Linked DNA regions of Lonchura striata. The protein of the gene in region 1 interacts with the protein of each later gene in a biochemical or structural test. Links are inferred from orthologs where the notes say so. Each region holds a gene or a part of one and is shown on either strand. Other genes may lie near its edges.

Region 1 (7,958 bases):
AAAAGTTGTGTTACCATCTCTCTCGTCACCTTGCTCCTCCTCCACACCTGTCAAAGAGGTTCAGCTGTTTCAAGGACTCACAGCCCAGTTGCAATAGGGTGCACCTGTATATCCTTGACTCACATGCTGTGGAAACAGGTAACTGGAGACCACTGCAAGGAAAGCTAAAGTGCTTGGAAAGGAAGGGCAAGATAAGAAAGCTGAAATTTCAAAGTATCACCACTAGTAGCTCCAATGTTCAAAAGAAAAAAAAATATCAGAGTGGAAAGTTGTGACATCTGATGGAAAAAAAAGCAGTGGCTCCAATGGGCATTGGCATTCATTCCAGGGAGTAGCAGATAACAGGTTCTCTCCTCCTGGCTTACGCCTGCCTGGCCAATAAAATGTCTCACTGAAGCACAGGCACATTTAGGCTGCTAGGTCACGACATTCTAGCAATTTATTGTGTAAATGCCTGCCAAAAATAATTGCTTTATACTTCTAAGCCACATTTACCTGGTTTGCAGAGTCTCTACACATGCACCCTAAGCAACTCAAAAAGGACAGTATGCAAGATGTTTTCAAGTCATTAAATGTGCACTGAGCAAGGATATGGCAGATGTTCAGACTGCATCCAAACCCACATCTGCACCCTGAGTATCTGCCAGTTACCACGGTACCTAAAGTCTCGGCCATACTGCTTTCTAGTTACCAGTACAAGTGCCCTTCACGTCCTCAGAGATTTGGCAGGCACAATTCTAGTATCAACCACAATAAAACAAGGCCAGTGAGCCAAGAAAGGCAAGGTTTCAGGTCTTTGTACTTTGTAAATGGCTTGAGAGGTGGATTCTTAGATTCTACCTCTATTTCCATCAGCAGCCTTATGATTTAAGCTTTTTCAAGTCAAACCAACTACATTGCTAAACAGAAGTGTTCTGGTAAGTATTTGTCTCAACTGGTGGCCTGCTGTTTAACTTTTTGCTTGAGAACAGAAAGCTGCTACACAGCTTCTGCTCCAGTTCAGAACTGAACAGGTTACTACTGAACCTCACTGATCAAAACACATGCAGCTGGTGCTTGCAGGACAAACCCTGGGACTGCCCCTCCAACATAATACCTTTACCAGAGGGAAGAAAAGAGCAGCCTCCGCCTGAATCCCTGCAACTTGAAGAATAGAACAGAGTCGTCCTGAGAAGCCAGGCTTGCCGTAAGAGCTTGACTTGGGAAAAGAAGCAGCAACTAGCCAGGCTGTTACTTTGCTTGACTTCAGAGTCAGACAAAGCCTGCTCTCAGCTAGAAGTAGCAACTCCAGTGCCTTCCAGGTCCCCATGGAGGCACACAGTTGACAGCTTACTCATTTCAACACCCTGCAGATAGAGCTCTAAGTCTGAGCAAAAGGCCTTGGACTGAAATTAAATGTAGATTTTTTTTTTTCCCTGTACATTGAAAGACTGTCAACAAACAATTGCAAGACAACAGGTATTATTTATATATCATAATGAAGGTCTGGTTCTGAATAGGTAAAGGAAGCAATCTCCAGATGCTGAAAGGTTTCAACCACCATGTATCTTATCTGTTCACTGCTAAGTAATGATCAGTGAAAACAAAACTTTACCTGTAAATGAAATTTTCAGGATTATATTGCAACCTGCCTTGTTTTTTTTTTTTTCAATCAAGGGAAATGACTACTCCTGTTTTCATTCTTATAGAGGAACTTGACTATGATTTTAGGTGAATGTTTCCCATGAACACCCATGACCAGAAATTATATCTGTTACTGAAAGAGCTGTGCAGTCTCCCTTCCATTATATTGTTAGTCCATTATGTGAATGTATCAAGACCTGGTATATCCACACTGCAGTTTAAAAAACACAGATTACAAACTATTAGTAGTGACAGCATAGCTGTGACAGGTCAGCTCAAGTTGCAGAAGGGTAAGCAGAAGTCAGAACACGTACATCAATGCAAGTCCACACGGTGGGAATAATACCCCAGCTAGATATTATGCAACTGCATCAGGACTCTACAACAAAGCTTTTGCCATGATTTAGCTGTATTACAGCTGTCCTCTGAGCCAGCTCATACTGAGGAGAAGGAAAAGCAAAAATCAAGAAAGGCTTTATTAATCTGTTTACACATGCCTAATGACTAATTTGAACGGAAATGCCTCATTGATAAGCACAGGTTAACATTATGCAACAGAAAGGCAACTGTCTCTGCAACAGTCATCTCAATACCCTTTCTGCAGCTTCATAAAAGATGCAAAGGGGAAAAAATACACAGAAACACACAGTAAGACTACCTGTATAAAGCTGATTAAGACATATTTGAAATAACTTGCAGTTGGAAGAATTCGCTGATCACATGGTGCTATTTTCTAATGCCACTTGTTAGTTATCTAAAAGGACTCCTGAGCACGCACTTTTATCACAAAATATTAACAAAAAAGAGCAATCTACAGAAGCCGGTTTACACAGACGTGAACATGGCAACACCCCACTTCAGTCTACCTTCGCTTGGAAAAAGCAGAGTACGTGAGCTTTGGCTGTGGGAGCCCCGGCCGCGGCTGCAGCGAAGCTAGGGCGCAGCGCCTGAGCTGGGGCACAGGGCAGACCGAGCGATGCCGCTACTCACCAGAGCTCCATCCGCTGCCGACAAGCTCTCGTACGTCTTCCACGCTCTCTCCCTCACGCTCTCCGACACCTTCAGCGCCTCACACAGCGCAGCGAAGTCCGCTTCGCCGACCTCGACCCTAGGAAAAGCATCGCACATCGCCAGCGGGGACAGGGACCGCGGGGCGACCACGAGACCCACGCCACCGGCTGCCGGAGCCGCCCCGGGGTGACACCGCCCCGCACCGCCCACAGCCCGGCCCGCCGGGCGCCGAGAGCCCCGGGGCGGCCCGCCCGCCTGCAGCGGGGCGCCGAGAGCCCTTACCGGGGGGCGGCGGGCGGCGCGGAGCCGCCGTCGGGGCTGGGGCGCTGCGCCCTGGCGGCGCCCGCCCTGCGCGGGGGCTTGGGCGGCATGGCGGGAGCGGCTCCGGGAGCGCCCGCCGCGGGCAGCACTGACCGGGGCCGCTGCCCCCGCCCGCCGCCCGAACCGCGGGAAAACGGCGTCAGCGCCACTTCCGTCACTTCCGCGCCGGCGGCCGCGCCCCGCCCCGCCCGCGGCCCGGGCTCGGGGCGGGACCGGGGCAGAGGCGGCGCGGCGCGGCCCGGGCTCGGGGCGGGACCGGGGCGGAGGCGGCGCGGCGCGGCCCGGGCTCGGGGCGGGACCGGGGCGGAGGCGGCGCGGCGCGGCCCGGGCTCGGGGCGGGACCGGGGCGGAGGCGGCGCGGCGCGGCCCGGGCTCGGGGCGGGACCGGGGCGGAGGCGGCGCGGCGCGGCCCGGGCTCGGGGCGGGACCGGGGCGGAGGCGGCGCGGCGCGGCCCGGGCTCGGGGCGGGACCGGGGCAGAGGCGGCGCGGCGCGGCCCCAGAGCCGCCGCGGGAACGGCGGCCCCGCCGTGCCTGAGACTTCAGGCACTCAGCGAGCACAGCCGGTACATCTTTTCCGTGAGCTGGGAAGGAACGCGGGCCGGTGTGTGAGAATAACTGTACGGAATAACTACAGGCGCAGAGCGGAGCAAGAATTGCAGATCCTTTAGGATCTGTCGGTTCATGGAGACCAAGTGCCGGCCCTGCGCGCCGGTCACAGCAGCCGCTGGCAGCGCTGCAGGCTGGTGGCACAGCGGCTGGGAGTGGCCCGGGGTGAAAGGAGCTGGGGGTGCTGGTCGGCAGCAGCTGAATGTGAAGCCAGAGTGTGCCCAGGTAGCCAAGAAGGACAATGGCATCCTGGCCTGCATCAGCAACAGTGTGGGCAGCAGGAGCAGGGCAGGGATTGTCGCCTTGTGCTCGGCACGGGTGGGGCTATAACTCAACTGTGTCCAGCTCCTCTCGAGAAGAAAGTCCAGAGAAGGGCAGGGTAGCTAGGGAAGGGTCCGGAGCGCAAGTCCTGTGAGGAGTGGCTGAGGGAGCTGCGGGTGTTTAACCTGGAAACAGGAGGCTTGGGAGACCTTACTGCTCTCTGCAACTGCCTGAGCAAAGCCTGTAGTGAGGTGAGGGTTGGCATCTTCTCACAGGTAACAAGTGACAGGACAAGAGGTTGTGGCCTCAGACTGCACCAGGGGAAGTTTAGGTTGGACACCAAGAGGAATTTAATCATAGAAGGGATTGTTAAACATTGGAATGGGCTGCCCAGTGAAGTCACCATCCCAAAAGGTGTTCAAGAAATAACTAGACATGATGGCATTTGGTGCCATAGTCTCATTGACAAGGTGGTAGGTGACCAGTCAAAGGATGGCCTTGATGATCTCAGAGGTCTTCTGAGGTCTTCAAACCTAAATGATTCAGTGACGTCTCAATCTGAATTCATCCAAGTCCTAACTGAAATGTTATTTCTAGCACTGTGCAGTAAAATTACATTAATGTAAAAAGTTCAGGTTGTGGACATCTGGATTTTAAGTCAATGAGATTCAAATTGCCAGTGCTCTGATTCAAAGATCTTAGAAATCTGCTTTGTTGTCTGCAGTTGCATACTCACATTTAGAAGGCCAATCTCTGCTGTAAACAAGCATGTTTATTTTCAGACTTACATGATGACAACTTCTTAAAAAAGGAAAAGTATTTGTATGTAAGTATTCTTACTACCTGCACGTATCTGTCATTCACCTGTAAAGCAACTGCTTTTAGTGAGACTGCTGTCAAAACTCTGGATTTAAGAAAATCCCAAACAAAAATCAGCATGAGCATTAATGTGTTATACAATTAAAATTCCCTAGTATTTTTACAACCATACATTCTAGTAATTTGTTCAGGCGTGTCCTTTATGATTCTTAACTTAAAACAGGAGAACAGTGTCTGGCTTTCTGCTTTATAATTAGAATTAAACCAATTACAGAAAAGTGAATACAGAACAAATCAAAGTACATAAACTCCAAATTAAACGTTTGAGTTGTAGACTGTAGTGGGATTTGGACATTCCTGATTATGATTCTAGTAAAATTGTGGCAGTAGCTTTACCCTGCTTCTAAGCACATTTAAATACTTTTTGTATTCAGATGGTACCAGATGCTGTGGAAGGTTTGGGGTAGGACTGTCTGTCATCAACCACTGAACCACAGACAAGTAGACAGACCAGCTTGGAAAAGTAAGCTGAACCCCTAAACCACAGCTGAGTCCATTGCCTTCTCCTCAGAACTGGCTTTAAGAGCACAAAAGAATTTAAAATGAGAGCAAAGCATCTCAGAAAACTTGGTTGCAGCCAGTGGAGGCCATGCCAGCTGTTAGCAAGACAAACAAACACACCCTCCTGGGTCGCTTCCCTCGCAGCTGCTTTAACATGCTGTTACAGCCAGGCCCTGCATCGTCCAGATGGCAGGCAAAGAATTTGTCTCGTGGCCCTCTGTGCATTGCTCCTTTTAAAAAGTTCACAAACTAGCCTCAGTGTAAATACTATTTTTAAAAAATTGTTAGTGCACCAAGCACCTTGTCATGTCAAATTTTAGGTACTTTTTCATCAAGCAAGGCTCTGAGGGCTCCCCTCCATAAATAGGTAAAAAAAAATATAATCTCAGAATGCTTCAACTTACAGCTGGAAGGAGGCAAAGGGAACAGCAGATGAATCAAGCAAAAATAACCTTTAATAATCCATCCCAAAGCCTTGGGTATAGTAACTACATCTAAACTGCAGTAAGAAGAGTTAACATGTATGTACTTCCAAAGAAAGGCACATCCTTGTGTAAAACCATACTTAAGTTGCTGCACCTCTTTCCCCTTCTCCTTTTAAGACTTACTGATTTGAAAGTTTTAATCCTGTATTCTAAAACATCTTCTAAATGAAGCCTTTAGACTTTTCAGTAAAATTACAGTAAAATTACAAAGGAAAGAAAAAAATCAGCTGCTATTGGGGAAGCACAAAGAAAACACTGCAATGTCAAATAAAGTATTAATGATAGTTTTTGCATCTGATCTGACAAAACCTTCATTCTAAGCATCTTACTCCAACTGCTTTTATAGTATAGGTCACGGACATATGTGAAGCATTGTCCAGTTCTGACTCATTGTTTCCAGCCTTAGGTAATTTTGTTACATAACAAAAGACAACCTTAGGTAATTTTATTATCCTAATTTTTTCACTTAAAAGTATTTCATGGTAATTGCCAGTTGGAATTAAAGCCATTATTTCAATTATAGTAAAATCAGTTTTCTGAAGTTGTATGACCAAAACATCTGCATTTAAAACCCCACTAAATTGAGAGCTTCTGGATATAAGTCCAAATACTAAATATTGGCAGAATTTCTGCTCAAATAAAGCCCATAGGCTGTAAAACTCAAAGACTATAAAGATGTCTGCATGTATCACACCCATTTTCCTGCATGTAACAGGCAGAATTATCTAGGGAGGGGACAGAGGCTTTCCTAGCCAGCCTTTTCTGTGCATTCACATTCCTTGCACTGTTCAGCAGCCCCCAGCCCTCTGCCATCAGTGTCACCTGGAGCCCACCTGTCCTTCTCAAGCCCCAGCACGAGTGCTAACAGGAGCAAGGAGGTGCAGGCTAACTTTTCACCAGCTGCTGCCCTACAGGCCCCAGGCCTTAAGAAGAGCCTTTTTGGAGAAGCACCTGGTGCAGCAGGCAGACCCAAGTGACAGTCTTGCTGCAGGAGATCCTCAGGGACATTCAGGCCATGGCTTGAACAGGCCCTTTGCATTCCCCAGCATCACCTCCCCTGGTAACTCTGTGATTGTGCTGGCATCACTCTGCCTTTGAAATTGGGAAGGGTTTACTGGGGAGATGGGGTGAAACTGTTTGGTTGTTCCTCTTGGTGGTGGTGAGCCTGACCTTTGTGCCATTGTTTCCTACACAAATACACATCCTGAGATATGAAGAATAAAAACCCCCTCTGTAAGTTAATATTTCCACAGTGAGGTAAAATCCATAGGGACCATAACAAACATCTACCCATTTCTCTTTAAGATGAGAGGGATCTGTCAGACGTTGCCACTTGTAAAAATTCAAAGCCTCTCTCTATACATTGATATTATTATTAAAAAGAATACTTTTCACTCCACAGTTACAGGCATTGGTGGCTTGCTCTTCTCAGAGCACTACACAGGGCACTGCTGGACTCTCAGGACTGCAGTGATAAGTTTAAGGCAGGAATCTCTATTAATAAAACATTTGACCAAACTGCCAGTGGGATCTGAAAGGACACCACTGTTACTGGATGGGGAAATGGCTACATCTAAAGGATGCCTATGTGCAAAACCTCAACCCTTCACAGATACTTCCAGTTATTTTTCTTGGACATCAGAGAGGTTTTGCATTGATCAAGCTTTTAGACTTGAGTGTCACTTTCTTTTTACTCAGTTGTATTTTTTTATAGAGGAATCATAACTACTTATACAGACCCTCCACATTTTTTGTTCTCTGTGAGAATGGCTGTCAGAGCTGTGTCTGTTTTAACAGATTTGCACTAGTGCTGAGAGCCAGGGTACTAAAAAATAAAATCACTGACTGGTGCAATTTATCAGATTAAGCCCTAGTGACAGTGCAATTACATCAGACAAAAAATGATCATTCCTGGTATGGCTTTCCTTGCTTACAAGGGTTCCTGGATATCAGTATAAATCATGCCCTTGCATGCACAGCTGCATCACAGCCTGTGTTTTGTCACACAAGTACCACCCTGTGTCCTTGGCTGGCAAAGCACTTCAAACCCTGGGTACACTGTGCCCCAAGAGGGTGCAGGGAAGGCATCCTGCGTCCCCTCTGCAGGGCAGTTCATTCAGCTGATACTGCCAACTACTAATGAAATAACTATCAGCAAGCAAGCCACAGCCCTCTTGTTGCAATTACACAGCCATATTAAGGACCCTGCCACAATCCCTCCCTTCCCATCCTTCTCGGTCCCAAGTTCTGCTTCCTCTCACCACATGAGA
Region 2 (7,205 bases), on another chromosome or scaffold:
ATATTGAAGGGTTAAGTGAATGCAGTGCCCTCCTTAGGTGCCTTGCGCCAGCACAATGTTCAGGCTGCAGAGGTGGGAAACAAGGATTTCCCTCCAGCCTGTGCTAAGACACCTGCTCCTTGGAAAGTCACCCTCTGAGCACAGCAGAAGTCTTTCCCATTACCTTGTTCCTGTGGATGTAGTAAAGTCCATTCAGGAGCATCTGCATAACTTTCTTAATCTCTGACAGTGTGAACTTGACATGGGCGTTGCTGAGAAGGCCAGCCAGGTCGTGCTCACAGAAGTCAAACACAAGGTAGATGCTGCCCTTGCACCGGTTGTACGGAGAGGCTGCGGGAGAGGCACAGAGAGGCTGCCAGTGAGGGACCTTTCACTGGGTCACAGCTCCTCTCACCTCCCACTCATACAACACCCCCTACACAGAATCTCAGGGCACGGGAACACAGAGAACCAGACAGCCTGCAGGCCTCAAGGTCCTTTTTAAAGAACTGAGCAAAAACTAGCAACACAAGAACGGGAGATGAGGATTGGTGCAGCAAATGTCATCAGAAAGGCAAGGAAAGGGCATGGCAACCTTTGAAAGCTTCACTTCGTGCAGCTCTGGGCACGTAACGGCTGTGGGGTTTCCTCCCTGCAAGCTGTGGCTGCCAGCCAAGCACCAGAGATAGAGGAGACACCCACAGACAGCCCCGGGAAAAATGCAGAAACACAGAAAATCTGTCTAATCTCACATTAAAAAGTGAGATTTCCTGCAACCTCAAACAGGATCTGCAAAAACGGACTGATCTTGATCAAAGTGATATAAAACTCCAATTTTAATTGAATGATAGCAGACTTTAAGTGAAGACTTTAAGTGATAAGATAGCAGACTTTAAGAGATTTTAATCTTGTTCCTAGAGCACCCACGCAAAACATTATTAAAAAGAAAAGCTGATTTTCATCAGTTGTAATCAGCAAACCTGCTGATCAGCATCTCCAGCCGGAAAAGCTTAGCCCCCAGAGAAGCACACTACTCTCCTCCCCAGGAGGGTGCCTGCTACACTGAGTTTGCAGTTCCTCACACAGACACAGCCCCAAACACGCCTTTCCAACACAAAAAGAGAAAAGCCTCATGTTTGACAACAGTAAATGAAACATTTCTACTTTACTGCAAACTGAGGTCAAGGTAGATTTGGATAAAAACTGGAATACAAACAAAACATAAAAAGGGAACAAATGACATGTCTACAAAAATATTTACTTTTGGTATGTGAGACACCCAATCATGGCAGCTCTTTTAATCACAGAGTGAATTACAAATTAACTTGTCATTGGTGTCTTCACTCATACCTATTCAGACAGTAATCTACACACAATTCAGTGTACTGGAGTATCTTGAATTTCCCATCACTAGGCCAGACATTTCTGCCCATTCAGTGACTGGACTTTTTAAATAACACCAGATACAGAGGCTGAGGAGCCTCTGCTCCAAAGTGCTTGTTCGTTTAAAGCCTCTCAGAAGGAGCTTCCCAGCACAGGCATATCCTGGCAGGACTACAACAGCTTTTTCCATCTGAGCTTCAGCAACGTCCTGACTCATTTAGGAACTCTTTTCCAAGGTAAGTAACCTGTCACCCCATGTCACAGGCAGGAAGAGAGGCCCATGCTCAGCTAGACCACTCCACTCCCAGCACAAGACACCAGCCTGCTCACCACTGGCAGGGCTCAGAAAAGCCATCATTGACACAAGGGACACCCTGCAAAGTACCTTTGGTCCTGCAGATTTCTATGAGGTTCACCACATTCTCATGTTTGAGCAGCTGGAGGATTTTAATCTCTCGTAAGGCTGTGATGGGAAACTGGAAAAGAGAAAGAGAGAATGGAGGTTGGAGATGCAGGAGACAAGGCCATCTTTGCCAGAGAACAGGAGGTGTGACCATGCAGCTTGACAGGTCCTCCCCTCCTCTCCTCACCTTTTATATTCACACTAGGACAGGGTACAGCCCAGCCTGAGCTGCAGAACAGCCTCCCTGGCTGCTGCCTTTGCTGTTTAAGCTCTTAACTCTCTCCCCAACCCCTGAGCATGTGTCTGACACATCACCCAGTTCTTCCACAGACACAGCCAGTGTGGAGCCCTGTGCTCAGGGTCCCAGAGGAGAAGAAACACATGGGAAGCAGCCATCCCATGCAGCCCAGTCCCCTCGCTGCTGCCATGTGCCTTTGCAGCCCAGGTGACAACAGGCCCAACCCAGCCATGCCCCACACTCACCCCTTCTTTCTCATTTTCCATCAACACCTTCTTCAGTGCTACTTTCTTGCCTGTCTGGCGATGTTTAGCTTTGAAAACTTCTCTGTTAAAAAAAAAAAAAAAAAAAAAAAAAAAAATTTAAAAAATATCCATGAGCAGCACAAGGAGAAAGGAGCCAGGTGCCCCCACAAGGAACAAGCCCAAACAAGATACACTAAAGCACCACACAGAGAACTCTGTGCTGAGCCAATATAGCCACATTCCCCTGGGCCAAAGGCCCTCAGGACTCAGTGAACCAACAGAGAGCCCAGATCTCTTGCAGCCTTACAAGGATTTCCAGTAATGTAGCACATTTTGAGCAAAAAGCTGTACATTTGGAGCCAAGCTGCACATTTGGAGGCAAGTTACAGGTCGCCACCCTAACTGTTTTCAAGGTTAACTCTGCTCTGGCAGAGCTGGGACAGAGCGGGACCTCAGGTTGGGAAAAGAGGGCCCAGGAAACAGACTGGCTCTCTGAGGGCAGAGGGGCGGCAGGGGAAAGGACACCGAGCAAGGAGCACCCGAGGCAGGCACGATGGGCCGCGGGCTGGGCCCAGCTGCAGGCCTGAGGCTGGGGAAGGCCGGGGCGGGTCATGGAGGGCCGGGGCCGGCGAGCACTCACCCGAAGGTGCCCTGCCCGATCTTGGCGAGCTTCTCGTACTTGGAAACCTCGTCGCAGAAGGGGCACTCGACCATGTCGTACTGCTTGGCCATGGCGGCCGCGCCGTTGCCACAGCACCGCGTCCCGCCCGTTCCGCCACGTGACGCCGTCACGTGACCCGCCCGCCCGCGCGGGGCCCTGTGGGTGTTGCAGTCCCTGGGGCCGCCGCCATGTTGTCCCTCCTCGTGGCCCGGGAGCCCCGAGCGCTCCCCGTGGCCCTAAAGCGCTTTGCTGGGTGCCCCGTGTGTGCTTAAGCACGTCAGGAGTTAAACAAGGCTTCTGCTCCTGCAGCTGCGGCTCTGACGCAGGGAGGCTTTGGCCAGGCAGGAGGACTCCAGGGTCTGGTTCAGGGGACCCTGAGTTCCTCCCCTGGCCGTGACTGTGTTCAGGTGCAGGACAAAGAGCTCCATCTCAGGCTGTTCGAAACCGGTCCCCGAGGTGCACAGCACCAAAGGACCGAGCTGTGGCAGAGGTGGCTGCCAGCGGCTTGCTGAGGGAAACACAGACAGCAGACCCCTGCTGGGTCCAGGCCACCTTGTCCTGCATGGCCACACTGTAATGGAGCACTGTCCCCAGAAGGAGAGAGTGGCTGGTGAGGAGTGCTCCTGCTGGCAGCGACGCCACCCAGCTCTCATCCCACACGGGCTGAGCATCTGACGTGCACGGCAGAGTTCTGTCTGCAGGGCTGGAGCCTCACCCACACAGCTGGCACCCTCACCCAAAGGGCTGTCACGCTCCTCCTAAGGCTGCCACCTTCTTCCATGAGGCTGGAACCCTCTTTCAGGGCTGGCACCCAGAGGTTTTTGGTTGTCCACATCTGGCAGATGTCCCCAAACCGGGGTGCGGAGGTGACTCTCGAGCAGCCAGGCAGGTGCAAGCAGCCACGGGGACTTCAGGAACTGTGGGGACAGCGCGAGGGCGGGCAGGGACAGCAGCGGGGCAGGGAGCAGATGACAGCAGTGGGGAGGAAATGCTGAGCGAGCGATGAGCGGGGTGGCTGGGGGGGCAGGAAGGGAGGAGCAGGCAGGGAAGGGCTTCACAGTTATATACTTGTCCCTCTTAGTCCCCGCGGCCTCCAAGCAGCACGGCCATGGCCGAGGGCCAGAAACGACGGGGCTTCAAGAAATTCAGTAAGTGGCCACGGCACAGGGTGGGCGGGCTCACCTGGACGTCTCGGTGGGTAGGAGGATGTGTGACAGTTAGTGTTGAGTGTGTGCTTACACGCTCCCCAGGTCATCCCATCCAGGGATGGGGTCATCCCAATCCAGGGATGTTTGGAGCTGTGACAGCCTCTGCTTTTGTTAGGAAACTCAGTGGGGTGAGGGACTTTGAGGTTTTCATCCACAGGGCTGGGTGCTGGCTCAGGAGCTGGGTGCAGGGACTGGGACCAGTATGCTGCAGCACAGCCCTGTGCTGGATGCTGGGATGTGGGCAGAGGGATGCACAGCAGGATTTGGAGATTCTTCACTCCTTAAATCATTAAACCAACTTCAGGGTGCATGGCTTGGGTACAAGATGGTGCTGGGGGCCAGGGGTGGCTAGGACCCTCACCCCAGGGTGCTCCTGCAGCACAGGGACGGGGGTGACACAGAGAAGCTGGGGAGGGAGCCTGGGAATGGATTCCCACCGGCTCTTCTGGGAGGAAGTGCTTGATACCCACCGGGAGCGAGCTCTGCACTTTCTCACAGACCTCAGCTTTCCCCCGGAGCTCCGGGGGGAGGCTGCAGTGGCCTTCACCCCATTCCCAGCGCTGGGCTGTGCTCTTGCATTCCTGCCACGGGGCTGGCGCCAGAGGGGGGTCAGTCCCTCTGCTCCCCCGGGACCCCTCCACTGGCCAAACCCAGGGCCCCATCCCAGCTGGGATTTTCCTTTGTGGTGGAGTGGCGTGGAAATTGAGAAAATCCTCAGGGCTGCCTTTCCCACCTTTCAGCAGCCCCAGGAGCAGCAGGTAGCAGAAGATGCTTGGACTCCAAGGGGATGTTTAGCACAAAGTAATTTTGCCTCTAACTGCACTCAATGAGGTTTCTGCCTCACAGAGGGGCTTTTGGGATGCAGCCCCTCCACCCTGTCCAGCTGCAGGGATGCCCCACAGAACCCGTGGATGGCAACTGGAGGTGGGAATCCAGGGGCTGAGCAGCCCGGGACACCCTGGTCCTTGCTCAGCACCTCTGCAAAGTGTCGCTTCCTGCCCCAGCAAATCTGCCGTGCTTCGCAGAGCCCCGGGGCGGCATCAGCACTGCAAAATCCCCGGTGGGAACCACGGCGGCAGGGAAGCGCTGCTCAACAGCACTGCAGCCACAGGCTCGCTCAGCCCGAGCACCGGCACCGGCACCGGCACCGGCACCGGCACCGGCACCATCCAAGGCTGCGCTGCGGTGACACACAGAGCCGAGCTGGGGCTGGGGTGTGAAATGCAAAGCCGCCCGCCGCAGTTATAAATATTTCTCCGGCGAACATGTTCATGCTCAGCACTTGCAGGTGGCAGCTGGAGCTGGCGAGGGGCCGGGCGAGGAAGTGGGGAGGTTATCTGCTGCCGCAGCAGCGCCCGTGGCTGGTTCCTGCTCCATCGTGCCGGCGACATGCACATGTGGGCAGGTCATGTGCATCCAGGACCCCCATTCCCTAGGGAGATGCCGTGTGGCCCATTCTTGCATCCTGCAGGGCTGCCCTAAGGTTGCGGGGATGGGCATAGCTCTGCCCAGAGGCCCCTGGAGGAAGTAGGTGTTAGAAATAACTTTTAGAGTTGCCTGCTCACCAGGGTTGGGTGTTTCCTCCCCTCCTCAGCCGTGGTAGGGAGATACAGCCGCTAGATTTGCCAGGCACAGGAGACTTCTGCTCCCCGAGGGACCAGGGCAGAGTTCCCAGGTACCCAACAGACATGCCTCAAGCAGCATCATGTACACCACAGACCACAGGGATATCATGCCAAGCTGGGCCTGCAGATGTGGGTGTAACAGGGTGACACCAGGCTGCATAGTGCTCCTTGCTCAGCCCAACCCAGGACCAGGGGCTCTGGGATCCCCCATCATCACACCATGCCAGCAGTAACCCCACACTCATCACTCCTTTCTCCTTGCCAGAGTTTTTCAGGTTCAAAGGCTTTGGGAGCCTGAGCAGCATCCCCCGCTCCTTCACCTTCCGGCGCGTCCCTGTGGACCCCAGCTGTGCCGACAATCTCAGAGCACATGTCCCACCTCCCCACGGCTTCCTGGGAGAGCCCTTTGACAGCACCCAGGATGATCTCAACACCGTGCCCAAGAGCCCTGGCCCCTACGCCCAGTCGTCGAACATGTACTCCCACATGGGCACCATGCCCAGGGTGAATCTGGGCAAGGCAGGGAAGAGCCTGGGCAAAGACAAGAGTAGCCAGAACTGCTGGGAGAAAGGGACTCCCAACAACAAAACCCCCCAGGCAGCCCCACTCCCCAGCCTCAAGTGCCCTGAGATGTCCAGCACCCCTGCCCCAGGCACAGACTCACCCTTGACTGCTGGAGAAGCAGGGCAGGAGGAGGAAAAAGCTGAACCTGGGGACACCGTGGAGGCAGCAATGGACAGGACAGACCAGGAGCCTGTGGGAAACGTCTCCTGCCCTAGGGCAGAGACACTGAGCTCCAGCCTGGCTCCAAACCCCAGCCAAACCACAAGCCCTGACACAGCAGCTGGAGCAGAGACCACTGATGGGGATCTGCTGGAAAAGGGACAAGAGCATCCTGACAAGATCTCCCCAGACAGGTATAACCCTTGAGGTTTGCTCTGCCTTCTGCTAAGACCCCCATTTTGCTCCCCCACAGGGCAAGAGGAGGGGGCTGGGACCAACCAGGGTCACTGCAATGTCCCCTCGTGCCCACAGTGCCAGCGGGATGCACCTGGCCGGTGGGACAACACAGCTGGAGCACGGTCAGGTCAGCGGCTCCATGGGAACGAGGTTTCCTGTGGGATTTCTGCTCCCTCCTGTTTCCGGACGGGGTGGAAACATCTCGCAGCCCCGCTCTGCCCCGGCATCTCTTTGTCCTGCGGCGGCTGCGTTCCAGCACCAGGATGTGCTGCTGCGGAGAGCTCACAGCAGCACTGTTACAGCCTCCTCCGCCTCTCTCCGCTTTTCCACCCCCTCTGTCCTCTCCCCCTCTGCCGAGCAGCGCTGCCTCTCCCAAGGCACAGGGGCAAATCCTGAAACCAGACACTCCGTCCCTATTTCATCACCTACCAGTAAACCCCCACTCTGGGCACAAATTCCCCACTCCAGGCACAATCTCTCCCTCCGGGGGAATTTGGAGGTTC
Region 3 (7,089 bases), on another chromosome or scaffold:
CAGCATTGTCATAAATATTAACAGACAAGAATCACCTCCTACCTGAGAAAATACAGGGATAAAGGTGAATATTTTTATTTTTGAAGCCTACAGCATAGTTCTCTTAATACAGCCACCTGCCTTATCTTCTTGAGGGCATTAATTTAATAAAAAACATGTCAGATCAAGTAGCCAGTTGCTCCAGTTATGGAACAATTTTGTTCCCTGCCTTTCCATCCCTCCACAACCCTGCCTGAAGTCAGATGTCTAAACTGGGCCCCAAGAACGAGGCAGGCAGGCAGGCTGCAGCTGGGGAATCCAACTTCAGGACAGCCCCAGAGGTTGTAGGAGTTTAATGAGGACGGTCTGGCTTCTCCCTCCCCTCCTCACACCTTCTCCAGGACATGTCTGGAGTTACAGAGTAAATTCAGCATAATCCCTACCCTTCAGACTGCAGCCCAAAGGGCATTTTCCCAACTAAGGTACTAGCCAAAAATAAAAAAAAAAAGTGTGAGGGGAAAATACATTTTAATTATTTTATTTTTCTTAAATATAATAGAACCTTCTAGAATTTTTTTCCAGAAACAGAAACATTAAAAAATTATACTTTATTACAAATGGTAAACTCAGAGTGCTAAAAAAAAGCCTCTTATTTACAAACAATACTGGGCAGTGCCCAAATAAACAACATAAAAATAACTTACAAAGTCATGAAGTAGTTTATTGACATTAATCAACTTTCATAAAATAAAATAAAAAAAGATATGTACATACACAATTTACTTGAAGGCAGGCAGAACAGTTCTTTTTTTTTTTTTTGTTTATCAGCCTCCCACAAACCTCCCTCCCACTTTTTTTTTTTTTTCTTAAGGAATACTACATAAAGCAATCTACAGTTTCTATTGCAGTTTAACCTTTAATACTGAATGATCATCGAATGTTAGGTCCATGCAGGTCTTGGTCAATGTTAAACGAAGATCTGACATCTCATCCGAGCAGGAGCAGCACTTCCCGGAGCAGCGCTGCCCGCTGCGCTCCCGGCTCCAGCCCAAGGCTTTGCCAGTCTTTCCACACATGCGCTTTGCGGAGCACAGGCAGGACAGCCCCTCAGCTCTTTGCCATTAGCTTTATGCCTCTGCCACTTTGGATTTTTCCTCTTTTAGTTGTACCACAACACACAGTTCTCGCCGAAGAGTCTCTTCAAAACGTCTGCAACTGCTGTGTGAGCATGAGCTGGCACCCGCTGTTGACGTGGTTCATGACCTTCTGCTTAAGCTGTGCAACCTGTTCTCTGAGCATGTTGGCAGTGGATGCCAGCTCTGAGTTCTGGGCTTTCAAAGTTTTCACTTTTTCTTCCAACCGGGCAATCCTTTCCAACTTCCTTTTCCGGCATTTGGACGCCGCGATTCTGTTCCTCATGCGCTTTCTCTCGGCTTTGATTCTCTCCTGTGACTCCATGTCAATGGGGGACAGGGGAGGAGTTTCCCCCGGCATTTCAGGTACAGTCTGCGGCTCCTCTTTCAGAGCCTGGAGCCGGGGATGCTGCACGGGCATCTGCGGGTTTATGTGATGCTGGGGCGCGTATCCCATGCTGTTGGCGTTGTAGCTGGGCGCGGAGCTGAGCGCGTTGGGGTTGAAGTTGCTGAGGTTGGCGTACACCGGGGGCTCGCTGTGCAAACTGGTGTTGAAGCTGGTGCTGCCGGCCATGGAGGACACAGGTGCCATCCCGCTGCTGACGGGCTGGGCGGCCGAGGTGACGCTGGGCAGCGTGTTCTGGTTGTGCAGCTCCGCCAAAGCTCTCACGAAACCCTCGGCGAACCCCTCCTGCTCGTCGGTGACATTCTTGGGGCACAGGAACTGCGTCGGGGTCGGCGTGGTGGTGATCAGCCCGTTGCTGGACTGGATGATGAGCCGCTCCAGCTCGGGCGAGGCCAGTTTGAGGAGCCCCACGTCGGGCGAGGTGAGGATGTCGGCGTTCTTGTTCCTCAGGTGCGGCTTCAGGTTGCTGGAGGGGTCGGACAGGTTCAGCGTCATGTTCTGCTTCAGCACCTTGGCGTTATTGTATCCGTACCCGCCGCTCTCCGGCGGCGCGAAGCCGGCGCTCAGCGCATCCTCGTAGAAAGTAGGCTCCATCTTTGCACTCATAGAACACAGTCCGGGGAAGGGAAGCTGCCCGGCCGCCGCTCAGCTCCCCGCGGGCACCCCGACCCTCCCGGGGAAGGGGAACGCGGAGCCGAGGAAGGAGAAACGCGGAGCCTTACTGGATCGCCGCTGCCGCTGCCGCGCTGAGAGCCCGCCCGGCCTGGCGGGGCGCCTCGCCTCCCTCCTCCTCCTCTCGCCGGTGGTGCCGGGACGCCGCTCCGCCGCCACAAGTACTTTCCCTGCCCGGCTCCGCGCTATTCCCGCTCCACCGTCCCGGCGGCCGCGCTCGCTCGTTCACTCGCTCGTTCACTCGCTCGCTCCCGCCACCCCGCGCTCTGCGCCCGCTCCCGCCGTGCAGCCCTTCACTTATCAGCGGCCGCGGGCCCGCTAAAAATAGCGCATGATGTCACCCCGCGCGCTCCCCATTGGCTGCTGCCGCCCCGTCCCCGAGGGGGGGGCGGGGCCAGGGCCCGGCGCGCGGTCGCCATGGCCACCCCCCGCCCCCCCCCCACTTCAGAAGCTTCTTGAGCGCGCGGGGCCTTGTGGGATGACGTAATGGCGGGGGGGGCGCGCGCGCGGGGCAGTGTGGGCTGACGTCTTTTTGTTTTTGAACGATCCGGTTACCGCGGGCCGGCCGCCGCCGGTGCGCCGAGCCCCGTCCGTCCGTCCGTCCGTCCGTTTGTCTGTCTGTTTGTTTATCTGCCTGTTTGTTTGTTTGTTTGCGCTGCCTGCGCCGCGTTCCGGCGCTTCCCTCCCCCCGCCGCCGGTCCGGCCCTTCAGGTGGCGGCGCTCCCGGGGAGCCCCACGTGGTTTCCCCGTCCCGCCGCCCCCGCCGCTTCCAGGCAGCGCCGCGGGCGGCACCGGCGGCTCCCCCGCGCCGCCCGCCCGGCCCGGCCCGCCCGGCCCCCGGGGCCCTGCCCGCCCGGGCCCCGGGGCTCTGCCCGCCCGGGCCCCGGGGCTCCCCCGCGCCGCCCGCCCGGCCCCCGGGGCTCTGCCCCCGCGCCGCCCGGGGAGTCCCCGCTGGCCCGCCCGGCCCCGCGGGGTTTCGCTGGGGGTTCGCCTTCGCCCCCGCACCTCCGCCCGCACCCGCCCCCGGGCACGGCTCTGCCTCCACAGAGAGCCGATTCCCGGCCTCGGGAATAGCCGGGAGAACACGGAGGGGAAGTAAAACCCGACAGGAAAAAGCCGGGTTACGGATGGGTTTCTCTGAACTCGTCCTCCAAGGGGAAGGGACAGCGACGGCCTAATTTTAGACAGTGTCCCAGTATTGCTGTGGAATTGCAGGTTGGGCGGGAGGGAGAATAAGGGCTGGAGCCGGAGGATCGCGGCGGAGGAGAAAAGTCCCCGCTGGCAGCAACAGATGGGAGCTGTGCCTCGCTGCGCTGCTCCGTGCGGGCAGAGCGCTGATCACAGGGATGCGCTTGCCTTCCCTTGCCCCGCACACCCCCTTCTCTCGGCGTGCTGGGGATTTGGGATTGCTGCCACCGCTGGAGTAAAGTGCAGCAGGTATTTGAGGACAGGCAGTGACAGGACGGGGTGGCACAGGGACTGCAGGGCTGTCCTGGTGGGTTTGATTGCCAGCAGTGCAACAAGTGCTCCTCGTGCTTCCAACTCGAAGCTGTTGGCTTGCTGCTGTTCAGCTTTTTGTCAGTGCAGAACTTGATCTGTCAGCTTGAACCCCTTCACACGACATGTGAAGCTAACAAACTTAGGTTCATTTTGAAAACACCCTTTCAAATTCCCCAGTTCTATTTTTTTCCTGGATGTAATGACATAATTACCAGTTACCGTATAGAAAGGAGCAGCGAAGCAAACAGAAACATCAGCATCTATGAAAGAAAAGTGAAGGTCCAGCTCCCCTCTTGGAAGTTGTTGGGGATTTTTCCTTCTGCGTTGTTCCCACCTGACTTTGGCCACATGGCAAGCACTGGTGTTAACGGGAATGATGGAAATAATGCATGCAGTGTGTTAACAGTCTGTAGCACAAAATAAAAAAAAAACGTTTTGGACTGGATGAGGGGGCTCACTGTGTGCTGCTGGTGTCTGTACAGCCTTCACAGAGTTAGCATCTCTCTGGGCTGCAGGTAACTCAAACTTCAGCTGGGTAAACTGTTCAGCCAAACAGCACTAAGTTACTGCGCATGCATAAGAAAATCTCAGGATTTCATTAATGCAGTGAGCACTCAAATTAATTCCTTTTAATGTTTACATACAAGATAAATAGAGACCTGTGGCTGACTCTTCTGGCCTCAGAGCCAAGGGACATCAAATGAAACTGGCAGGTTCGGAACAAACCAAAGAACTGCGGTTCAGCGCTGGAACTCCCTGGCAAGGGTGGACGGAGGGATTTTAACGTGATGGATGAATTCACGGAAGAGAAATCACTTTAGGTCTGTGAATCACGGAGCATCTACACTGGCTCTGGAAATCCTAGGGCTGCAAATGACTTGTGCCCGGGGGGCATCCCTGGCTTGGGGTGGCTCCCTAGGGACCCACTCCTGGCCCCTGTCAGAGATGGGGATCTCGTGTGGCCGTCCTTGAAGTGTTACAGCCCCCGGGGATAGCCCATAAATGATTTCAGTGTCACCCCGCAGTTTTCATGTTTATAAAGGGCAAGGAAGAAAATCTGAAGAAATGTAAGACTTGAATTCGAGGTCGTTTGTTGTATGGAGTTTTTTATTTTGAAATAAATGATTTTAAATATTTCCAAATGAAGCTAAAAATGGGGGTATCTGGTGCATAGGAAGCCACACAATTAATTTGCTGTATAGACAAATACTATTAAAATTTATTCTGATTACCTTTATGTATTAGTTGGTTGTGTTGTTTTGTTTTATCTTTTGGAGTTTTCTGCTGCATGTTTCTTCTGTCCTAGAAAGCAAAATTCAAACTATGAGGAACATGGTCAGCATAGCTTAAACCACTCTATTTATTACAGATTTGTATAACCTGTAAAACTGCCTTTGGAGCTCACTGATCTGCAAGGTTTTGATTAACTTCAGTAAGGGCTGGATCAGGCGGGAGGGATTAATTTAATTTAATTTTTTTTTTCCCCTCCACCCATTTCAGCTCTGTACTTCCTTCCTCTTGCAGAGGCGGGGTTGGGGAGCAGACATTCCAGTTTGGGAGCTGGGGCCCTGTGGCTCTGGGGACACCCATTCCCGTCACTGCTGCTCACTGCAGGTTGTTCCCTGCCACAGAGAGCCAAGGTGCTTGTGAAGGTTCTGCGGAGCAGCAGAGCACTGAAATCAAAGACAGGAGCTCCTGGCTGCTCCCAGGGGATTTCCTGCCTAGCTGGGGACCTTTGGGAGGGTTTGGCTGAGATTTCAGTCCCAAAATCGGCGCTGACACACTCAGAGTGGAGCAGATCCAAAAGCAGGACCCATGGATAGTGATCCTTCATGGCCATTAGCCAAGGAGCTGGTGGCTATGCTCTGATTTATTAAACACCTATTAATTCCAGGCTTTTATTCCCCCTTTCCTGACATCCTTAAGAAAATATTCCTTTAGTAGGATGAGGGAATGCTTCCTGACCCAGGTACAAACCAGAGCCATTTACATGGCTCAATAAACTAACTTGTGGCTAGGAATTGCCAATCCCTGCCCTGTATTTCTGAGAGGCCGATGCGTTGAGCAACAGTAATGCACATTTTGATTTATAAGCTTCTCTAATCAATCAATAGAAGCTTGAGTGAGGCAATCAGATAATCTGAATAATTAAATGGCTTTTCAGGGACAAATTAAAATTTGTTGCACACACCACATCCATCTAAATTATATTTGGTGTCCAGGAATAAATGGGTTTGCTGGTTTGTTTCACTCCTGCATCTCAAATGATTTTGACTTACTTCAAAATTATTTGGGAAAAAAAAAAAAAAGGAAAGAAAAAAGGATAAATGTCAGTTTCTGATTTTTTTTTACATTGGAAAGAGTGGTCACAGAAAAAAAAAATACTTTTTCCCATATAGTTTTATTACATGTATATTAAATATTTCAATATATATTTTTCTTTAGACATGTCAGAATATTTTGCTTTTTCTTCTCCTCAGAGAAGTTTCCATAACACCTTTATTGTATAGAAAATTATTATGTAGATTTTTTGTCTTCTTTTTTTAAAAAAACAGGACTTCACACTTTCTAAATGTGATATCCTTCTTCACATCTTAAAGTGAGTAAAACTGGGAAATCCTGGATTTTTGCACACTTGCTTAAGGAGTTACTATAGACCAGTTTTCTCCAACTGGGGGAGACAAGAGTTTGAAGAGTCAGAAAGCAAAAGTATTTTTCTCTTATTTACTCCATCAAGGCACAGTAAAAGAAGGTGGGAGTGAGAGGGTACAAGGAATAGAGTTTCCTTAGGCCAAGTGGAAGTAAAATAATCATTCCCGGGTTCTGCTGGTCCCAGTCCCTCGCCGGTTCCTCGGGGCGTGTTTGCGTCCTCGGTTCAAGTGGGTCCAAGTCTGCAGCACAGCACAGGCGTGGCACAGCTGCCACCTCATCCACCCCCAGCTTCCGTGGCCTCTCCTCCTGCTCTTTGCTCCCAGCAGGACTCCTGTGGCCAGGTGGAGATCCAGGAACTGTGGCTGAAATAAAAACAAATCAATACACCTGGGGACACAGGGGAAAGGTGGGAATGGATAAGGCTGGGGGAAGAGTGGGACTCGCAGCTTGATGTGGAGGACTCTGGAATCAAAACTCTAAAAAAGCCCAGCCAGTGTTGAGTGAGTGTTCATTTTGCACATGAAAAATGCTCTTCAGAACCACAGGCACTTGTAAATGAATATCGTGTCCATCTCCTCCACCCTCCATTAGTCATCGCATAACCAAGCCGTACGCACTCAGTCCTTTTCATCTTCCTTCTTGTCAAGCCCTTTAGCCTGTCCCCCTCACCTACTCATCCCACCAATCATTTTAATTAATCTCTGAATTTCTTTGAAACTAATAGTTTGTGGAATAGGGGAAAATGAG
Region 4 (7,478 bases), on another chromosome or scaffold:
GGGGACATTGGGGACATTGTTTGGGACATTGGGGACATCAAGGTCAGACCCCTGAGTGACCCCTGAGTGACCCACGGGACCCCCGGGGTGGGTTTGGGGTTTTGGGGTCACCTGGCAGAACAGCAGCCCCTGCAGCAGATGGGACAGGTGACTCTGGAGACAGCATTGGGGACATTGGGGACATTGTTTGGGACATTGGGGACATCACTGGGGACATTGGGGACATCGTTTCAGACCCCTGAGTGACCCCTGAGTGACCCAGGGGACCCCCAGAATGGGTTCGGGGTTTTGGGGTCACCTGGCAGAACAGCAGCCCCTGCAGCAGATGGGACAGGTGACTCTGGGGACAGCGATGGGGACATTGGGGACATCGTTTGGGACATTGGGGACATCGTTTGGGACATTGGGGACATCACTGGGGACATTGGGGACATCGTTTGGGACACTGGGGACATCCCCTGAGTGACCCCTGAGTGACCCAGGGGACCCCAATGACACAAGGTGCTTTAGGGTTCCCCCAATGTCCTCAAGATGTTTTAGGCCCCCCCAGATATTTTAAGGCCTCCCCAGATGTTTTAGGCCCCCCCAGATGTTTTAGGGCCCCCCCAGATGTTTTAGGGCCTCCCCAGATGTTTTAGGGCCCCCCCAGATGTTTTAGGGCCCCCCCAGATGTTTCGGGGTCCCACCTTGATGAGCGGCAGCGCGATCCCGCTGAGCGAGGAGGAGTCCATGAACTTCTTGAGGTCCTGGTGCAGGAACTCGAACACCAGGTACAGCTTGTTCTCCGTGTGGATGACATCCAGCAGCCTGGGGACACGGGGACAGCTTGGGGACAGGGACATGGGGACAGGGACACGGGGACAGCTTGGGGACACGGGGACAGGGACACGGGGACAGGGACAGGGACACAGGGACAGGGACACAGGGACAAAGTCTGGGACACAGCCTGGGACACGGGGACAGCTTGGGGACAGGGACAGAGGGACAGGGACACTGGGACAGGAACTCGAACACCAGGTACAGCTTGTTCTCTGTGTGGATGACATCCAGCAGCCTGGGGACATGGGGACAGCGTGGGGACAGTGTGGGGACAGCCTGGGGACACGGGGACAGGGACATGGGGACAAAGTCTGGGACACAGCCTGGGACCACGGGGACAGCTTGGGGACAGTGTGGGGACAGCCCTGGGACATGGGGACAGGGACACAGGGACAGCCTGGGGACAGCCTGGGGACATGGGGACAGGGACACGGGGACAGGGACACGGGGACAGGGACACAGGGACAGGGACACGGGGACAGGGACACGGGGACAGCGTGGGGACAGTGTGGGGACAGCCTGGGGACACGGGGACAGGGACATGGGGACAGTCTGGGGACACGGGGACAGCCTGGGGACAGCTTGGGGACATGGGGACAGCCTGGGGACAGGGACATGGGGACAGGGACACGGGGACAGGGACAGGGACACGGGGACAGGGACAGAGGGACAAAGTCTGGGACACAGCCTGGGACACGGGGACAGCTTGGGGACAGGGACATGGGGACAGGGACACGGGGACAGGGACAGGGACACAGGGACAGGGACACAGGGACAAAGTCTGGGACACAGCCTGGGACACGGGGACAGCTTGGGGACAGGGACATGGGGACAGGGACACGGGGACAGGGACAGGGACACAGGGACAGGGACACAGGGACAAAGTCTGGGACACAGCCTGGGACACGGGGACAGCTTGGGGACAGGGACAGAGGGACAGGGACACGGGGACACCACAGCCCCAGGGGTCCCATGGCCACAGGGACACCACAAAGCCCCCCCAGGACACTCCTGGGGACCCCTCCTCAGTGACATTCCCCCCCAGAACCCCCCAAAAGCCCACCAGGACCCTCCAGAGCCCCCCAAGACCCTCCGAGACACCCCCAGGACAATCCTGGGGACCCCTCCCCATTACCACCTCCCCCCAAAACCCCCCAGGACAATCCCGGGGACCCCTCCCCAGTACCAGCTCCCCCCAAAACCCACCAGGACAATCCTGGGGACCCCTCCCCATTACCACCTCCCCCCAAAACCCACCAGGACACTCCCGGGGACCCCTCCCCGTTACCATCACCCCCAAACCCCCCAGGACAATCCCGGGGACCCCTCCCCGTTACCAGCTCCCCCCAAAACCCACCAGGACACTCCCGGGGACCCCTCCCCATTACCAGCTCCCCCCAAAACCCACCAGGACAATCCCGGGGACCCCTCCCCGTTACCAGCTCCCCCCAAAACCCCCCAAGACAATCCCGGGGACCCCTCCCCGTTACCATCACCCCCCAAAGCCCCCCCAAAACCCCCCAGGACAATCCCGGGGACCCCTCCCCATTACCAGCTCCCCCCAAAACCCACCAAGACAATCCTAGGGACCCCTCCCCGTTATCATCACCCCCAAAACCCCCCAGGACACTCCCGGGGACCCCTCCCCGTTACCATCACCCCCCAAAGCCCCCCAAAACCCCCCGGGACACTCCCGGGGACCCCTCCCCGTTACCACCACCCCCAAACCCCCCAGGACAATCCCGGGGACCCCTCCCCATTACCACGTCCCCCCAAACCCCCCAGGACAATCCCGGGGACCCCTCCCCATTACCAGCTCCCCCCAGAGCCCCCCAAAACCCACCCCCAGCACCCCCGGCCTCACTTGACGATGTTGGGGTGGTTGAGCTCCTTGAGCAGCGAGATCTCCCTGATGGCCGTGCTGGGGACACCCTCGGTCTCCCTGCCGTGACAGCGGCGCCGGGGGTGGCCGTGAGCCCGGGGACCCCCCGGGAGACCCCCGGGACCCCCCGGGACCCCCCACTCACGTGTCCAGGCGGATCTTCTTGAGTGCCACCACCTCTCCCGTCACCTTGTTGCGGGCCTTGTAGACCACGCCGTAGGTGCCCTCACCGATCTTCTCCACCTTCTGGAAGTTCTCCATGGAGGGGACACCGGGGGGGACACCGGGAGTGGCGGGGGGACACCGGGAGTGGCGGGGCACACTGGGAATGGGGACGGGGGTGGTCCCGGAGGTGGGCGGTGGTCGCAGGGAGGGATACCCGGGGTAAGGGCGGGGATTGCCGGGGGTGGCACGGGGGTCTGGGGGTGTCCCCGGCGGTCCCTGAGTGTCGCCGGGGGTGTCGCCGGTGGGGTTCTGTGTGTTACCGGGGGTGTACCCGGTGTCACCGGGGGTGTCCCTGGGGGTCTCTGGGTATCCTCGAGGGTCCCCGGGAGGGATATCTGGGGTCGGGGTGGGGTTGCGGAGCTGTCCCGGGGGTCTCTGGGTGTCCCCGGGGGTGTCCCCGGTGTTACCGGGGGTGTCCCGGTGTCACCGGGGGTGCCCCGGAGAGGTTCTGGGGATCCCCGGGAGGGATATCCGGGGTGGGGCTGGGGTTCCGGAGCTATCCCGGGGGTCTCTGGGTGTCCCCGGAGGTATCCCCGGTGTTACCGGGGGTGTCCCGGTGTTACCGGGGGTGTCCCGGTGTCACCGGGGGTGCCCCGGAGAGGTTCTGGGGGTCCCCGGGAGGGATATTCGGGGTGGGGGTGGGGATCCGGGGGTGTCACCGGGTGTATCCCGGGGGTCTCTGGGTATTCCCGAGGGTGTCCGGGTGTCACCGGGGGTGTCCCGGTGTTACCGGGGGTGCCCCGGAGGGGTTCTGGGGGTCCCCGGGAGGGATATCCGGGGTGGGGCTGGGGTTCCGGAGCTATCCCGGGGGTCTCTGGGTGTCCCCGGGGGTGTCCCGGTGTCACCGGGGGTGCCCCGGAGGGGTTCTGGGGGTCGCCGGGAGGGATATCCGGGGTGGGGGTGGGGCTGCGGGGCAGTCCCGGTGCCGGGGGTGTCCCCGGCGGGGCCGGGGTGTCCGGGGGGGTTCTGGGGGTCCCCGGTTGTCCCGGGGTGTCCCTGGGGGGGTTCCCGGGGGTCCCGAGCGCGGCCGCCGCGTCCCCCCCGCGCGCGCCAAACCCGCGGCGGCCCCGCCCGCGCCGCTTCCCGCCTTGCCGCCGGCCACGCCCCCCGCGCCGCCGCCCATTGGCTGAGCCGCGCGTGACGTCACTGGAGAGGCGGGAGATACCTTAAAGAGACAGGCACACTACCGGGAGAGACGGCGGCAATGGGGACAGGGACCGGGACATTGGGGACCGGGACAGGGACAGGGACAGGGACAGGACAGGACAGGGACAGGGACAGGACAGGGACAGGGACAGGAACAGGGACAGGACAGGGACAGGGACAGGGATGGGATAGGGACAGGGACAGGGACAGGACAGGGACAGGGACAGGGACAGGGACAGGGAGAGGGACAGGGATCGGGACAGGGACAGGACATGGACAGGGAGAGGGACAGGGACAGGGAGAGGGACAGGGACATGGACAGGACAGGGACAGGGACAGGACATGGACAGGGACAGGGACAGGACAGGGACAGGGACAGGGACAGGGACAGGGACAGGGACAGGGACAGGAACAAGGATCGGGACAGGGACAGGGACAGGGACAGGACATGGACAGGGACAGGGACAGGGATCGGGACATTGGGGACCGGGACAGGGACAGGGACAGGACAGGGACAGGGACAGGGACAGGGACAGGGACAGGGACAGGACATGGACAGGGACAGGGACAGGACAGGGATCGGGACATTGGGGACCGGGACAGGGACAGGGACAGGACAGGGACAGGGGCAGGGACAGGACAGGGACAGGGACAGGGACAGGGACAGGGACAGGGACAGGGACAGGACAGGGACAGGGACAGGGACAGGGACATGGACAGGACAGGGACAGGACAGGGACAGGGACAGGACAGGGACAGGGACAGGGACAGGGACAGGACAGGGACAGGGACAGGGACAGGGACATGGACAGGACAGGGACAGGACAGGGACAGGGACAGGGACAGGGACAGGGACAGGACAGGGACAGGGACAGGGACAGGACAGGGATCGGGACATTGGGGACAGGGACAGGGACCGGGTTTGGGATGGGGACAGGGACCGGGACCAGGAACCGGATTGGGACCAGGACAGGGACAGGGACAAGGACAGGGACAGGGACCGGGGACAGGGACCGGGACAGGGACAGGGACCGGGACATGATCGGGACATTGGGGACAGGGACAGGGGATTGGGATTGGGACTTTGGGGACAGGGACAGGGACAGGGACAGGGACAGGACAGGGACAGGGACATTGGGGACAGGGACAGGGACCGGGTTTGGGATGGGGACAGGGACCGGGACCAGGAACCGGATTGGGACCGGGACAGGGACAGGGACCGGGTTTGGGATCAGGAACCGAGACCAGCAACTGAAACAGGGACAAGGACCGAGACCGGGACCGGGAATCGGAATCGGGAATGGGACCAAGGACCGGGAATCAGATCGGGACTGAGACCGGGACCGGGGATTTGGGATCAGGATCCGGGATAAGGATGGGATCGGAACAAGGACAGGGACCAGGATGGGGTCGGGGTCAGGACCGGGACGCCGCAGCCTCTGCCCGGGCTGCTCAGCCAGTGCCTGCACCGGGCACCGGGCACCGGGACCGGACACCGGGACCACAGCTCGGGCTGCGGCCAGACCACAACCGGACACGCGGGGGTCACGGGGAGCAGCCCCGGGGGCCGCACGGGGGTCACGGGGCTCCCGGGGGTCACGGGGCTCCCGGGGGTCACGGGGCTCTCCGCACACGTGGCCCCACCGGAACGGGCCCGCACGCACCGGGACAGCCCCGGGGGCACGGAAACGGCCGGAGCAGGAAAGATGGGGGTCACCCACCGGGATCGGGGTCCCCCCCGTGTCACCCACCGAGATCGAGGTCCCCCTGTGTCATCGGGGTCCCTCCCCGTGTCACCCGCTGAAATCGGGGTTCCCACCCGTGTCACCCACCGAGATTGGGGTCGCCCTGCGTGTGCAGAATTGGGGACCCCTCCCCGTTCTCTCCATGATTGGGGTCCCCCTCTCATGTCACCCACCAGGTTCGGGGTCCCCCTGTGTCATCGGGGTCCCCCCGTGTCACCCACTGAAATCGGGGTCCCCCCGTGTCACCCACCAGGTTCGGGGTCCCCCTGCGTGTGCAGAACTGGGGACCCCTCCGCCTTTTGTCCATTATTGGGGTCCCCCCCTGTGTCACCCACCAGGTTTGGGGTCCCCCTGTGCCATCGGGGTCCCCCCGTGTCACCCCCCAGGGTCCCCCCGTGTCACCCACCAGGTTTGGGGTCCCCCTGTGTCATCGGGGTCCCCCCCTTGTCACCCACCAGGATCGGGGTCCCCCATGGGAGACCCCGACCGGGATCGGGGTCCCCCTGTGTCATCGGGGGCCCCCACGGGTGACCCCCCGGAATTGGGGTCCCCACCCCTCCCGTGCCAGGCTGGGGGTCCCCCACTCTCACTGAGTGTCAAACCGGGGGTCCCCCCGCTGTGTGCAGAATTGGGGACCCCCCCCCCATGGCTGTCACCCCCATGATCCCCCCAAACCCCAAAACTCCCAAACCCAAAAAACTCCAAAACCCCAAACCGCAAAAGTCCCAAATCCCAAAAACCCCAAAAACGACAAAAATCCCGAATCCCAAAAATCCCAAACCCCAAAAATCCCAAACCCCAAAAATCCCAAATCCCCATCCCTGGGGTCTCCGCGTGCCGGAATTTGGGGGGGGGGGGTCCCCCAAAAACCCCAAACCCCAAAAAATCCCAAAACCACAAAATCCCAAACCCCAAAAACCCCAAACAACCCCAAAACCCCGACCCCCAAACCCCCAAACCCCATCCCCGCGCTCTCCGCGTGCCGGAATTTGGGGGGGGGTCCCCCCAAAACCCCTTCGCCGTTTTGTGGGGGGTCCCCAAAACCTCCCCCCCCCCCCGCACCGTGTGACCGCGGGTGGCCCCACGTGGCAGGGGAGGGGGGGGGATTTTGGGGGCGGATTTGGGGGGGTCACGGCCCCTGTCCCCCCCTTTTTTGGGGGGGCGTGGCTATGCAAATGAGCGCCCCCTTTTTGTGCGGCTCTCCCCGAGCCCGGCGCCTCTGCCCCGGCCGTGCCGAGCGTGGGGGGAGACGAGCGGGGACCATGAGGGGGCTCGGGGCCATCGCGGTTTTTGGGGTGCTGCTGCTCCTGGCTGAGGCTCAGAGGCGTAAGTGGGGTTTTTTTGGGGTGCGGGGGGCGTCCGGAGCTTCATATTTTGGGGTGCAAAGCCCCCTCTTAAAGAAAAATCCGTCACGGGGTTGGGTTGTACCCCGATAATCCCCATGGGGTTCGCGGGTTTGTGACATAATTTTTTTGGGGTGCGGGGGGCGCCCGGAGCTTCATATTTTGGGGGTTTTGGGGTGCAGAGCCTCTCCTTAAAGAAAAATCCGTCACGGAGTTCGGTTGTACCCCGATAATCCCCATTGGGGTTCGGGCTTGGACATAAATGAGTTTTTTTGGGGGTGTGGGGGGTGTCCGGAGTCCCATTCTTTGGGGGTTTTT

What was found.
Region 2: of the proteins of RB1 (region 1) and CDK9, one has a biochemical effect on the other in vitro, tested with the Homo sapiens proteins (4 studies listed by BioGRID, with this or other methods). The link is inferred for Lonchura striata from reciprocal best matches to the Homo sapiens genes RB1 and CDK9.
Region 3: the proteins of RB1 (region 1) and JUN form a complex in vitro, tested with the Homo sapiens proteins (2 studies listed by BioGRID). The link is inferred for Lonchura striata from reciprocal best matches to the Homo sapiens genes RB1 and JUN.
Region 4: of the proteins of RB1 (region 1) and CDK2, one has a biochemical effect on the other in vitro, tested with the Homo sapiens proteins (35 studies listed by BioGRID and IntAct). The link is inferred for Lonchura striata from reciprocal best matches to the Homo sapiens genes RB1 and CDK2.

What each region holds. Positions count from the first base shown.
Region 1 is NC_134604.1:61,979,134-61,987,091, reverse strand, and holds the start of RB1 (retinoblastoma-associated protein), read right to left. Parts: upstream 3,006-7,958; coding exon 2,917-3,005; intron 2,732-2,916; coding exon 2,614-2,731; intron 1-2,613. UniProt on the Homo sapiens protein: Tumor suppressor that is a key regulator of the G1/S transition of the cell cycle. The hypophosphorylated form binds transcription regulators of the E2F family, preventing transcription of E2F-responsive genes.
Region 2 is NC_134624.1:694,627-701,831, reverse strand, and holds the start of CDK9 (cyclin-dependent kinase 9), read right to left. Parts: upstream 3,016-7,205; 5' UTR 2,981-3,015; coding exon 2,889-2,980; intron 2,331-2,888; coding exon 2,249-2,330; intron 1,839-2,248; coding exon 1,748-1,838; intron 331-1,747; coding exon 164-330; intron 1-163. Other genes in the region: SH2D3C (SH2 domain-containing protein 3C), read left to right, coding at 4,018-4,057, 6,008-6,659. UniProt on the Homo sapiens protein: Protein kinase involved in the regulation of transcription.
Region 3 is NC_134611.1:7,572,387-7,579,475, reverse strand, and holds JUN (transcription factor Jun), read right to left. Parts: upstream 2,467-7,089; 5' UTR 2,125-2,466; coding exon 1,180-2,124; 3' UTR 502-1,179; downstream 1-501. UniProt on the Homo sapiens protein: Transcription factor that recognizes and binds to the AP-1 consensus motif 5'-TGA[GC]TCA-3'.
Region 4 is NC_134629.1:9,321,596-9,329,073, reverse strand, and holds the start of CDK2 (cyclin-dependent kinase 2), read right to left. Parts: upstream 3,002-7,478; 5' UTR 2,963-3,001; coding exon 2,847-2,962; intron 2,762-2,846; coding exon 2,684-2,761; intron 808-2,683; coding exon 687-807; intron 1-686. Other genes in the region: melanocyte protein PMEL, read left to right, coding at 7,080-7,143. UniProt on the Homo sapiens protein: Serine/threonine-protein kinase involved in the control of the cell cycle; essential for meiosis, but dispensable for mitosis. Phosphorylates CABLES1, CTNNB1, CDK2AP2, ERCC6, NBN, USP37, p53/TP53, NPM1, CDK7, RB1, BRCA2, MYC, NPAT, EZH2.